3 linked regions of the Macaca fascicularis genome follow. The protein of the gene in region 1 purifies or fractionates together with the protein of each later gene. This does not show direct contact. Links are inferred from orthologs where the notes say so. Each region holds a gene or a part of one and is shown on either strand. Other genes may lie near its edges.

What was found. The genes of interacting proteins can lie anywhere in the genome.
Region 2: the proteins of SMARCA5 (region 1) and CHRAC1 fractionate together in Homo sapiens (co-fractionation; 5 studies listed by BioGRID and IntAct, with this or other methods). This does not show direct contact. The link is inferred for Macaca fascicularis from reciprocal best matches to the Homo sapiens genes SMARCA5 and CHRAC1.
Region 3: the proteins of SMARCA5 (region 1) and BAZ1A purify together in Homo sapiens (affinity purification with western blotting; 8 studies listed by BioGRID and IntAct, with this or other methods). This does not show direct contact. The link is inferred for Macaca fascicularis from reciprocal best matches to the Homo sapiens genes SMARCA5 and BAZ1A.

What each region holds. Positions count from the first base shown.
Region 1 is NC_088379.1:148,647,450-148,652,382, reverse strand, and holds part of SMARCA5 (SWI/SNF-related matrix-associated actin-dependent regulator of chromatin subfamily A member 5), read right to left. Parts: intron 2,880-4,933; coding exon 2,758-2,879; intron 2,686-2,757; coding exon 2,533-2,685; intron 1,138-2,532; coding exon 1,005-1,137; intron 1-1,004. UniProt on the Homo sapiens protein: ATPase that possesses intrinsic ATP-dependent nucleosome-remodeling activity.
Region 2 is NC_088382.1:150,114,700-150,118,857, reverse strand, and holds the end of CHRAC1 (chromatin accessibility complex protein 1), read right to left. Parts: intron 3,833-4,158; coding exon 3,706-3,832; intron 3,081-3,705; coding exon 2,959-3,080; 3' UTR 1,506-2,958; downstream 1-1,505. UniProt on the Homo sapiens protein: Forms a complex with DNA polymerase epsilon subunit POLE3 and binds naked DNA, which is then incorporated into chromatin, aided by the nucleosome remodeling activity of ISWI/SNF2H and ACF1.
Region 3 is NC_088381.1:102,593,592-102,598,524, reverse strand, and holds part of BAZ1A (bromodomain adjacent to zinc finger domain protein 1A), read left to right. Parts: intron 1-981; coding exon 982-1,106; intron 1,107-4,784; coding exon 4,785-4,933. UniProt on the Homo sapiens protein: Regulatory subunit of the ATP-dependent ACF-1 and ACF-5 ISWI chromatin remodeling complexes, which form ordered nucleosome arrays on chromatin and slide edge- and center-positioned histone octamers away from their original location on the DNA template to facilitate access to DNA during DNA-templated processes such as DNA replication, transcription, and repair.

The sequences.
Region 1 (4,933 bases):
CTGGCACAAAGTAAACACTTTATTAACGGAAACAATTTGTAAAAATAAGCAATAATTTATTGTCTTTAGGTATGCAATAGCATTAGGGATACCAAAGACATGAAAAATACTCTCTTACATGGAAATAAGAGACTGACAAAATCAAGACACCTACATAATCAGTAAACAATGTAACAATATGCCTTTCAGCTTTTTAGACAGATAGTAAATATATGCTCACAATGCAGTTACAAAGGAAACTAATGAACATTTGAAGTTATTAAGTTTCCCACCCCTTTTCTTGAATTTTATATTTCCCATCATCAACTTTACAGTAAGTTTCATGAAAACATAAACTATGTCATCCTTAAAAGTTGATCTGGAATGAGAACTTAAGTTTCCTTCAATCGATTCAAAATAAAATCCCACTCTCACCCCCTACTCCTACTTATACCTTGTTTACTTCATCTGCCCTCCCAACTAAATTGTAAACTCTTTTAAAGTAAGAATACTTGAATGTTCCATTTACCACTGAATTCTCAACACCAAGAACAGTGCCTAGCATCTGGTGGGTACTCAATAAGTTGCAGACAAGAAAAAAGAATAAAATCAGGCTCTTTGATTTTTATTTCTTCAGTATTCCCCACAGTAATCAAGAGTAATTAGTACATATAAATCATTAACCACCACACTGAATATCAGATATCTTATATACATTATCCCCTTTAATCCTTTAAAATCCTTAAGTGTATTTTTATCCCCACTTAACAGATGAGGAAATGGGTTCATGTAACGAGAGAGAACTGCTAACTGGCAGAGTCATTATTCAAAACTCAATTGTCCTGAGCCCAAATAAATCTTAAGGACAAAACTAAAGTTTACTGTATTTGCAATACAAGTAATCTCTACTGGCTGCAAGCTTGACTCAATGGATGCTTAGTAACAAGAATCTTCTAAGACGATGTTCAAACAAAAACAGGTTGTGTCAATCCAGCTTGGTAAAGTTTTAAAGTTCCATGGCTTACCTTGTTGAATGACTATTGAATCCAGTCTGAGTTTCATCTCAGCACGTTCTACTATTCTTTCTTCTACAGTGTTATCAGTTATAAAGCGGAACACCCTGACTGTCTTGGTCTGTCCAATTCTATGTGCTCGGTCCTAAATAAATTACCATGTTATTTTGAATTGAGTTTAAAAGTCACATAAATAACACTGAAATGGGTACATTGAGAAACAAAATTAAAATATTCTGAAGTATAAAACTTTTAAAAATTTGTAGTAACAATGAATCTGTAAGAATCAGATGAATTCTGCTAGGTTACAGAGATAAAACACACACAATGTCTCCAAACAATATACAAAATTATAATTTTTAAGTCTGATGAGAAAAGATTTTAAGTCTTTTTCCCTAGGTTTAAATTCAAAATGTTTTTCTATCTATATCAAACCCAAATTGTTACTGTATCAGGCAAAAAAGTGACATGAAACAATGAACTTATCAAACATAAAAATTCTAATCTTTAAATATTACCCAATTAACTAAATACAAGTAGTCAAACTAGTTTGAATAGGAATTTCTGTTTCACTTTTGCTAACTACATTCCTAAAAAACTCCTTTATTTCTAATAATCGGACAATTTTCCCCAGTCAACCTTAGTAAGAGCACAAGATGAAAGTGACTAACGGGCTGGGCACAGTAGCTCACTCCTGTAATCCCAGCACTTTCGAAGGCCGAGGTGGGGGGATCACCTGAAGGTGAGGAGTTCAAGACCAGCCTGACCAACATGGTGAAACCCTATCTCTAATAAAAATACAAAATTAGCCAGGCGTGGTGGTGCACACCTGTAATCCCAGCTACTTGGAAGACTGAGGCAGGAGAACAGTGTGAACCCGGAAGGCGGACCTTGTGCTCCAGCCTGGGCAACAGAGTGAGACTCTGTCTCAAAAAAAAAAAAAAGAAAGAAAGAAAGTGACTAATTACAGTTGGGTTTATGGTCACCAGTATCACGGGTCAGGCCAATCTGCAGTATCAATTCTCTCAATCTAAAAATAATATTCCTGATCTGACTGGTACTTTCACACAGGTGTATCTTTTAAATATCTAAAGTGGCAGACAGGCTAGTTGCTCATCAAACTCAATTCTCTTTCGTCCTATGATACAACAACAATATAATTTACCAATCCCCTTGCAGTCAGTTATGCTACATGATGAGTTCTGTCCAATTGTCTGATCAAGAGGGTGGAGAGACAAGGAGGCTCTTTCAAGGTCTGACCCATAAATTTCCTGGAAAATCCCCAACTCTATCCTTTCCCCCTTCTGCCAATAGGATGCAGAGGATATAGCAGAGGACTCCAGGGTCCTAAGATATGGCAGATCTCTGAGATGGAAATACCCTTATTTAGATGGAACATCAACTCAATATACTCTCACTGAACCACTGGATTGGAGAAAAATAAAATTCTATTGGGTTAAGTCACTGGTATCTGAAGAATTACCTCACCCTAACTAATTCATCTACTAAGCACAGAATACATTTATTTGTTATCTCTTACCATAGCCTGAAGATCTACTTGGGGATTCCAATCAGAATCATACAAAATTACTACATCAGCAGTCGCAAGATTGATGCCAAGACCACCAGCACGTGTGCTTAACATGAAAACAAACTTTGTGCTGTTTGGTTCATTGTATGCATTGATGGAGTCCTACGGATAAAATAAAATGATTGTCAAAAAATTTATGATTCTTTTTTATCTCCCTCCCCAAATTTTACTCACTTGTCTCTCATCATGGGGCGTCTGACCATCCAACCTGCAGTACTCATAATTTCTCCACATGCAATAATCTTCCAAAATGTCCAATACCCTTGTCATTTGACTGAAGATTAATACTCGTGAACCTGTTAGTGAATATATTAATATATTCAAAAGTAGAAAAATTTAAGGGTAACCAAAAGTAAGACTAACCAATTATAATTCCAAAGTTACCTACTTGGTTACAAGGGGGCAAAAAAATCTACACATTATCATCCCAGTCAGTCATTTCCCACTTTTTTCTCACCATGGCACAAATAAAAAAGGATAACATTTGTACAGAAAAGCATATTTGCCTCTGGTCTGGAAGGCTTTCCCATCTCAAAGGGTAAGATAATCATTATCTTGTTACCTCACGTATGTTTAAAAATAACCTTCCACTACTCCACAACTCCTCTTCAATGCGTATGACTCCCCAAACCCCCAACACACACCTAATACTCCAGGTTTCAACCTGGTTCTGAAGACCCATTCCAGATCAAAGGACCATAATATGTACCTCATATATCTACAATGACTATCCTTCACTTATCTGACGTGATTCAAACTATCTGACTGCCTTCCACTTCTTTAGGCAACTACATAATACTTTCAGTAGAATGCATCAAGACAAAGGATCATTTTGAAAAGTAATGATTATGAAATGATCCCGTCTTATAAGTGGAGGCTGACAATCTGCTGTTGTCACACGTTCCTGCACCTCAAATGTGTAAGAATATTTTTTTTTTTTTTTGAGACGGAGTCTCGCTCTGACACCCAGGCTGGAGTGCAGTGGCGCCATCTCAGTTCTGCCTCCCAGGTTCAAGTGATTCATCTGCCTCAGCCTCCCAAGTAACTGGGACTACAGGTGCATGCCACCACGCCCAGCTAAATTTTTTGTATTTTTGGTAGAGATGGAGTTTCACCATGTTGGCCAGGCTGGTCTTGAACTCCTGACCTAAAATGATCTGCCCACCTCAGCCTTCCAAAAAGTACTGCAACATGAGAACATTTAATAGTCTCCATTTTCCTTGCAGAGTTTAATATACTTTACATTAATATCTGAATATTCCCACCAAGTTCCTGCCACTCCTCTCCACCAATTCAATTCCTTTAATTACTTTGCTTTCAAGGAAAGCATTTTTTAAAAATCTATCTCTACAAAAAAGGTATAAAAAGGAAAAAGTAAACCCATTCACTGACAACTCTTACAATATGCTTTTGATAGTATCATAGAGGAGATTCATCTACTGGTACAACTGTCATTCTTATTAAAATACAGAGAGAAACAAACAAACTTGAATCTGTATACTTAATACTGTATCAGTGATATTTCTTATCTTTAAGAGACAGATAATAATTTATGAAATGCTATAGTGTCTGGCGTTTGCTTCAAATAATCTGGGAGGAGGAAAAGTATAGTAGACTAAAAACATTTTTTATTAGTTAAAATTGGAAGCTGGCTTCTAAGTTCTTTCTACATTCGTGTAATTTAAATATACCCAAACACACACCACAGACATACCCCTTTTCTTTTTTTTTTTTTTTTTTTGAGACGGAGTGTTGCTCTGTCGCCCAGGCTGGAGTGCAGTGGCCCGATCTCAGCTCACTGCAAGCTCCGCCTCCCGGGTTTACGCCATTCTCCTGCCTCAGCCTCCCGAGTAGCTGGGACTACAGGCGCCCGCCACCTCGCCCGGCTAGTTTTTTTTTTTTTTTTGTATTTTTTTTAGTAGAGACGGGGTTTCACCATGTTAGCCAGGATGGTCTCGATCTCCTGACCTCGTGATCCACTCGTCTCGGCCTCCCAAAGTGCTGGGATTACAGGCTTGAGCCACCGCGCCCGGCCGACATACCCCTTTTCATATAAAAAGTCAACATACTATAGATAAAAATGTTTCAGGTCCATGTACATGGTACCTAATTAAAACCCCACATAAATAATTAAAAAACAATATCATGAACACACCACCACTGTCTAACAATGGATCTGGGAACCATGTGTGGGAGGGAGGTGCAATCTTCACATTTTATGACAGAAAGCTGTAATTTCTAGGGAAGTATATATAAAGTGTAAACTCTTTCCAAAATCAAGGGAGTATGGTTGCTCTAACTATTGCTTACCTTCTAAGAGACTTAAGGCCTAAAATCAGGAGTGGGGGTT
Region 2 (4,158 bases), on another chromosome or scaffold:
GCTGCAGAGCCACTGGAACTCACTACTGGTGGGACTGCAAAATGGCACAGCCACTTTGGAAAACAGTTTGGCAGTTTCTTAGAAACTTCTGTATCCCATTCCACTCATAAGCATATACCCAAGTAAAATGAAATCCTATGTTCACACGAAACCTGTACACAGGCCATGCGCAGTGGCTCCCAGCGCCTTGGGAGGCTGAGGTGGGCAGGTCACTTGATTGAGCTCAGGAGTTCGAGACCAGCATGGCCAACATGGCGAAAATCCATCTCTACTAAAAATACAAAAATTTGCCAGGTGTGGTGGTGAGCGCCTGTAATCCCAGCTACTCAGGAGGCTGAGGTGGGAGGATGGCTTGAACCCAGATGGGAGAGGTTGCAGTGAGCCAAGATCACACCACTGCACACCACCCTGGGCAGCAGAGTTTGTGAGACTCCATCGCAGAAAACACAAACAAACAAAAACCAGTACACAAATACTTACAGGGCTTTATTAATTGTAGTCATCAAGGCCAGGTGTGGTGGCTTATGCCTATAATCCCATCACTGGGAGGCGGAGGTGGGCGGATCATTTGATGTCAGGAGTAGAGACCACCCTGGCCAACATGGTGAAACTCCACCTCTACTAAAAGCACAAAAAAATGAGCTAAGTGTGGTGATGCCACGCCTGTAATCCTAGCTACTCAGGAGGTTGACACACAACCACTTGAACCCAGGAGGTGGAAGTTGCAGTAAGCCATGATCATGCCACTGCACTCCAGCCTGGGTGACAGAGTGAGACCCTGTCAAAAAAAAAAAAAAAAAAAAAAAATTACAATCACCAAAACTAGAAACCATCTATATACCTGGAAAATGGATAAACAGTTACATCCATACAATGGAATCCTACTCAGCAATATAAAGGAATGGACTGCTGATACCTGTGACAACACAGATGAATCTCAAATGCATTCTGCTAAACAGCAAAACTGCAGACTCAAATGCTACATACTGAATGATTCCATTTATATGACATTCTGGAAAAGACAGGTCAGCAAACTGTGGTCTGGAAGCCAAATCCAGCCATTTTTTAATGGCATATAAGCTAACAAGTATTTACATTATTAAATGGTTGGAGAAAATAGTATTTCATGACACATGAAAATTACACAAAATTCAAGTTTCAGTTTGCAGAAATAAAGCTCGATTGAAACACAGCCGCCTGCATTCCTTCATATATTAATTACCTGGCTGCTTTCGTACTACAACAGCTGAGTTTAGCAGCAGCAACAGAGACTATAAAAGCCCACAAAGCTTGAACTATTTACTGCATGGCCCTTTCCAGAAAAAAATTTGCTGACACCTGCTATAGGCACACAGAATAGCTTGACAGTTGCTAGTTTAGTAAAAGGTGGGGAAGGAGTTGGCCACAAGGGAATTTTCTAGAGGGTGATGTAGTTGTTAATTGTGGTGGTGGTGGTGGTGACTTGACTGCATTTGCCAAAACTCAGAACTCTACACCAAAAAGTATTTTTAAAAATATTTTATTTTAAAATAAATGCTAATGAACAAGAGGGACAGAAAACACCAGTAGTTGCCAGGGTGCAGGAGAAGAGACTAAGTACAGGGAACAGGGGAATGTCCTGGGTGATAGAACTGTCCTATCGATTGGTTACAAAACTATGCATTTGTCAAAATTCACAGCCTAGACACTAAAAAGGGTGATTTTACTGAATGTAAATTATAAACTTTTTTATTTTTAAAAAAGAGATAATGAAGGCCAGGCATGGTGGCTCACGCCTGTAATCCCAGCACTTTGGGAGGCTGAGGCGGGCAGATCACTCCCGAAGTCAGGAGTTTGAGACCAGCCTGGCCAACATGGTGAACCCCATCTCTACTAAAAATACAAAAATAGGTTGGGCGTGGTGGCACACGCCTGTAATCCCAGCTACTCGGGAGGATAAGGCAGGAGAATCACTTGAACCTGGGAGGTGGAAGTTGCAGTGAGCCGAGATAGCGCCACTGCACTCCAGCCTGGGCGACAGAGTAAGAATCTGTCTTTAAAAAAAAAAAAAAAAAAGATAATGAAATGAGAGGAACCAAATATTTACCCTATGTGGGGTTTAAAAAAAAAAAAAAGGCTTATGATAGGTTTTCTCTTAGAGACAGTAAAAATAAGTGCCAGGAATTGAAAGCAAAGAACAGTAAGATGAGAGAGATCTTCAATATACAAAATGTTTCAAAACTTTTTTTTAGTACAATATGCTTATACAAGAGGTAAGACTTATTTTTGTATTTGATTTGATAATTTGACTTGGAATTTTTCTGTGGGAATAAGTGTTAGAATGCTTATTTTTAAGTTTCTCAAAATTTGCAGGCAGTAAGCAAGGCCTTAAAGCCACAGAGGGCTCTAGAACTAGTTCCATAAAGCATTTTACTGTAAAAACATGTACAGATCTTTAATAGAAAAGTATGTTTCTTTACAGTAGAAAAATATCTGAACAGTCAACTTAAGACAAAAATTCAAATATAACATACGACCTATAAACTATCTATTTAGCTAAAACTGAATCGAGCTGTTTATAAGAACTGATTCCAAAATATACATACATGAATTTACATAACTGATACATAGAAGTTCTTCAAAATCGACTGTAAATTGAAAAGTTAAAATTGGCCTTGCCTCTGCAGTTTGGAGCTGCAATGGCTGCCAGCATCGGCTGCTTTCTTGGTGCCTGAGCTGCAGGGTGGGCCTGTCAAGGAGGGACTGCTGTCTGGGTCACTTTCCCTCTGGCTGTTTGTGGCGCAGGTGCATGAGGCGCTCAATCTTGGCCTGGAAAGAATACCTCGAAAGAATATCACGCACTGGAAGTCTGTGAGGAAGTGAAGACGCTAAAAGCGGGCAGTGCTGTGTTTACTTATAGACAGTGGAGCGGGTCCAGGGCAGTCCTCGCCAGGCTGGTTTTTAAAGCACTCTTTTGGTTTAGGATTCAGCTTCATCATGGTCACTTTCATTATCATTGTCATTCTCCTCATCTTCTTCCCTCTTTTCCTCTTTAAGCATTTTCAGGTATTTACTAGCTAATATCTTCTTTGGTAATATATCTTAAAAACATAAAGCTTACATCAGCAATTGGTTATGGTAGACTATGAACACAGCAATGCACATTTCAAAATGTACTAGTTCCTGCTTTGACCTCTACAAGAGGTTCCAAAACATAGATGAAATTCAGGCTACATTTCTGGGTAAAATATCACAGAAACTAGCATTGTCTCCTAACAAATGCTATAGGCCTCTTTCCATTATTCCACTGAGTACAAACCATGGTGTCTCTATGAGCTGCTTTTATAAGCAACCCTGCCCGATTACCTGAGATAGGCTAGGCTAGCCCCAGGGCAGACTTAAGCTCTAACTATGGGCATGTGGACCCACCCTGAGTTTTCCCTTCAATGGCAGGAAGGGTCCCTGTAAAGGACTGCCCAGCACAGGCGGCCAACCAACATCTTCTGAATGCTGTTGGCTTCACTGTTGTTCTAGGTGGACCACATAACACACACATTCAAACAGAGAAGACTAAAAGTATCTTCCTGTGACAGCTCATAGCACTTTGCGGCCTGCAAAGAGTAGCAAAAAGTCTAATTCCATGAAAGCAGAAGGGAGGCAAGGGGTGGGGAAAGAGCTATTGATTACTAATCATTTTTTAACCAGAATGTTTCAAAGACTAAGTACCTGCAAGAAACTGAAAAGTTTCTGATTCCTGTGCAGTGTTTGCTAAATCACTGTAAGTCAGTACTTTCTTTTCCTTTCCACTGCCGTGTCTGTAGGAATAGGTGGCTAGGCATTGAACAAAGAGCTCCTAAAACAAAATGAAAAAGGAAAATAAAAGGTGTGCTTTGAAAATGTACCACAGAGCTTAATTTTGTAAAATTACATTGCTGATACCTTATTATCAGGCTTAAAATTACATTAAGACTTCAGATTATCTTGGTTTCTTAAATTACAAGAAATCACTGCGGAGGCCGGGTGTGGTGGCTCAACACTTTGGAAGGCTGAGGCAGTCGGATCAGTTGAGGTCAGGAGTTTGAGATCACACTGGCCAACATGGTGAAACCCCATCTCTATTAAAAATAAAAAATTAGCTGGGCATGGTGGCAGGTGCCTGTAATCCCAGCCACTTGAGAG
Region 3 (4,933 bases), on another chromosome or scaffold:
ACCACTAAATTATACACTTTAAAATGGTGATTGTTATGGTATATAAGCTCAGTATATAAGAAAAGTAACATTGTATGGCTTTCACATCTTCATATTTTTTAAATATTCATTCAGCCCCATTCATTTACATTATCCCTGGCTCTCCTTACATTAGAGCTTGCAAAACCCAACTTTGGATTTAGAACATAATGGTGTAATTTATTTCAAGGTTCATATAATTTTAGTTTTAATTTGGATAACATAATGAATTAAACAGCTGTGTTGTGTTCATTCTGCCTGTTTACTATTTCTGAATTTCTCTCTTCCACTATTTGTCATCTTCTCTCCTTCCTACTCTAAGCCACCATCACCGCCTAGCCAGCCACCTAGACCACTACTGATCTATTACTATTATTACTGGCCCCTCATCTACTTTCTTTCCCAGGTAATTTTTCACACAGTGGCTACAGTACTTTCTAATACCATTTCCCTTTCTAAATTCTTCTGGTTTTTTTCCTATTGTTTTTTGGATAAGGCCTTACAAGGCCTAGCCTAATCTCACCCTGCCTTTTTCTCTCATCTGCCTCTTGGATTACTGCTTTCTCCGTTACACTTTTCTCAAAATTATAAGCTCCTCCTGTTTCTCTTGAGTTCTGTTCCATTGTGTATGTTATTCCTCTGTAGCACACACTCCTCCCCATCTCCCTGGTCTCAAATTGTAAAATGTCACTTCTTCAAGCCAGCCTTTTTGATCCCTAAGAGTCAGTTTCATTCTCCTTGAAATGTTTTCATAATACCTTGAACTGCTCTTGTTTTAGTACTTATTACATATTTTTTAAATGATTTGTGTAATTATCTGTTTTCTCTGAAAGACCATAAACTGTGTCATGTTGTTCACTACCTCCTAAGCCTATGCCCGGGACTTCGTAAGCAAGCAATAAATATTTCATAAATGGAATTATATATTCATTAGTAAATGTCATCCTTGTTTTTATCCTTAAGGGAGGAAGAAAGGGAAGATTTTGATACTAGCACTGAGAGCAAAGACACAGAGCAAAAGGAATTAGATCAAGATATGGTCACAGAAGATGAAGATGACCCAGGATCACATAAAAGAGGCAGAAGGGGTAATACTGAAATTCCTTAAGAGCATTCTTGTTTGTTTGTTTTTAACTGATAAAGCACTTTATTAATTCAGCTCCTCTGAAATATATTGATTGCTTTCGTTCGTGATTCCAGGCTGTGTTTTTTTTTTTAAATGCCCACCTCTTAGCTGTGATGAGTTGTAAAATGTGTTATGAAGTCCTATTAGTACATTTATGATTGGGTCATTATTTACACATCATCTATACTTAAGAAAAAAGAGATAATATTCCTATGTCTTTAATAGGACAGTTTCTGATAACTTTAACTTTTGGTTAGTCAGCAAGTTGCATTGAATTTATTTACTACTTTATTTGGGCCAAATAGAAATTTGCATTCTATAATGTACTCATTCAGCATGCATTGGATGCCTCCTATATACTAGAGATATAAAGATCAATAATGCTCATAATTTGTATCATATTGATGAAAGTGGAACTCTCTCCTACCTTAAAATTATTTCATAAATTGCTAGATCAAAGCGAATACATCTTTTAAAAGCTGTTAATACAAATTTCTTTTGAGGATCCTTAACCAACCTTATTTAATGACTATCAAAAGAAATCCTTAAGTTAATTCTGTGCCTGTAATTTGGATGGGATCTTTTTTCTGTATTTTTTTCTAAATGGTTACTCTAAGTAGATGGAAAATTTCCTTTATCATGGAAGCTGTATTGTCTGATTACAATGCAATTGATTTCAAAATCTAAAGCAAACCTAATATGATTAGAGTTTTAAAACAGACTTCTAAATATTGGGTCAAAAGATAAACTATAATGGAAACTAAAAAATATTTAAAATGAATCAAACTAAAGATTACTGAATATTAACGCTTGTTGAATACAGTCCCTCTACTTAGGGGAAAATGTATACCTTTAATACATATTAGAAAAGAAGAAACACAAACTCAGCTAGACATTTATTTAAGAAGATGGTGGGAGAAAAAGAATAATCCCCCTAAGTCTGAAGGAAATAATACATCAGAGTAGAAATTAATAGAAAATAAAAATATAGTAGGGCCAGGTGCAGTGGCTCACACCTGTAATCCCAGCACTCTGGGAGGCCAAGATAGGTGGATTGCTTAAGCCCAGGAGTTCAAAATCGGCCTTGGCAACATGGTGAAACCCCATCACTACAAAAAGTACCCAAAAAGCAAGCTGGGCATGGTGGCATGCACCTGTAGTCCCAGCTACTCAGTAGGCTAAGGTGGGAGGGTCGCTTGAGCCTGGGAGATCAAGGCTGCAGTGAGCCCTGATTGTGCCACTGCACTCCAACCTGGGCAACAGAGGAAGACCCTTTCTTAAAAAAATAAAAATGTAGTAAAGAACAGTAACAAATCTAAAAGCGTGTTCTTCTGAGAAAGACAAACGAGACAAACCTTTGTTGAAACTGATTTTTATATAGATGGCGATCATAAAGTTAGGACTGAAAGGGAGCAACATTAACTATGGATAGAGTAGAAACTTAAAGATGAGGAGATAATACACAATTTTTTGATGCATTTGAAAATATATGCAAAAATAAAATCCTAGAAAAATACAAATTATCAAAATGGATTTATGAAGAAATTTGTTAATGTAGATGGTCTTAAACGATTAAAGAACTTGAATCAGTACTAAAATCTTTCTGCAGAGAAAACATCAGTCCTAGACAACTTTATAGGTGAATTCTGCCAAATTTTTAAAAAAGCAGATAATTCCAGTCTTACACAAACTCTTTCAAGCAAAAGAAATAGAATGAAAAAATACTTCCCAACTATCAAAGCAATTTGACAGCAACTGAAACAACAGAGAAATTTAATTCCAACATATTTTCATAGTCAAGGCAGATTATCAGGGGTCCAAGCTCTTTCTGTCTTGTTGGTACTGCCATCCTTAGGGTTTTGCTGCCATTCTCATGTTCCAAAATGATTTATCACCATGTCTGCATTCTAGCTAGTTGGAAGTGGGAAGGAGGAAAGGGAAGCACAGTCCAGAGGGTACACACAATGCTTCTGATCCCATCTCTTTGAACAAAAGTTTTTTGTTTGGTTGTGCCTACTCTGGGAAATGTCCTTCTTTTGGGTTGCTAAGTGCCCAGCTGAAAACTAGTGGTTCTGTTACCTTCAACCAGTGGTTAGTAAATAACAGTTTGTATGCCAAATCTGGCCGGCCTCATTTTTGTTGTTGTTGTTTTTTGAGGTGGAGTCTCGCTCTGTCACCCAGGCTGGGGTGCAGTGGTGCCATCTCGGCTCACTGCAACCTCCACCTTCTGGGTTCAAGCGATTCTTCTGCCTCAGCCTCCCGAGTAGCTGGGATTATAGGTGCATGTCACCACACCTGGTTGATTTTTGTATTTTTAGTAGTGATGTGTTTTGTCATGTTGGCCAGGCTGGTTTCAAACTCCTGCCCTCAAGTGATCCAGCCACCTCGGCCTCCCAAAGTGTTGGGATTACAGATGTGAGCCACTGTGCCCGACCCGGCCCTGCCCTGCCCTGTTTTTGTATAACTCATAAGCTAAAAAGGCTTTTCCCCCTTTTTTGGAGACAGAGTCTCACTCTATCCCCCAGGCTGGAGTATAGTGGCATGATCTTGGCTCACTGCAACCTCCACCTCCTGGGTTCAAGCGATTCTCATGCCTCCGCCTCCTGAGTAGCTGGGATTACAAGTGCTTGCTACCACGCCCAGCTAATTTCTGTATTTTTAGTAGAGATGGGATTTCACCATGTTGGCCAGGCTGGTCAAGAACTCCTGACGTCAGGTGATCCGCCCACCTTGGCCTCCCAAAGTTCTGGGATTTACAGGCGTGAGCCACTGCGCCGGCTGGATTTTTACAATTTAAATGACTGGAAAAAAGAAGAATGATACTTTGTGATAAGTGAAAATTATATGAAATTCAGATTTCACTGTCCATAAATAGTTATATTGAACCACAGCCATGCTGATTGTCTACATGTTGCCTGTGATTGCTTTGGGGCCACAACAGTGGAATTGAATAGCTGTGAAGACCAAAAGATCCACAAAGACAAATATTTATAAGCTGGTCTTCTCCAGAAGTAGTTTGCTGTTATTCCTCCCTTAGAGGAAGGACTGGGATGACTACTGGAGGATAACTAACATACTCTACTGCACTCTCCAGTATGGAAATTACAGATTTTTTGTGCCCCTTTAGATTTAAGTATATTGATTTCTTAATAACATAGAGTATTAGTCTGCTTGGGCTGCCATAACGAAATACCCCACACTGGGGTGCCTTAAACAACAGAAATTTCAGAAATTTGTTTTCTCACAGTTCTGGAGTCTGGAAGTCCAAGATCAAGCAGGGTTAGTGTCTGAAGAGGCTTTTTCTTGGCTTGCAGACAGTGCCTTCTTGATATATCCTTACATGGCTTTTTCTCTGTGCATGTCAGAGAACAAGATCTCTCGTGTCTCTTGTTCTTTTAAGAACATCAATCATGTTGGATTAGGGCCCCACCTTTATGATCTTAATTACCTCCTTAAAAGTTCTGTCTCCAAATACAGTCACATTGGAGGTTAGGGCTTCAACATATGAACTTGGGTTGTGGAGAGGGGACACAGTTTAGTCTATAACACCTAATAACTTGGGATAACTTTGTATCTCATATTTTTCTAATGGAAACTTGAAATATGATGATGATGATGAAACATTTTATTTTAACTACAGGGAAAAGAGGACAAAATGGATTTAAAGAATTTACAAGGCAAGAAGAGATCAACTGTGTGACAAGAGAGCCTCTTACTGCTGAAGAGGATGAAGCATTAAAACAGGAACACCAACGAAAAGAGAAAGAGCTCTTAGAAAAAATCCAGAGT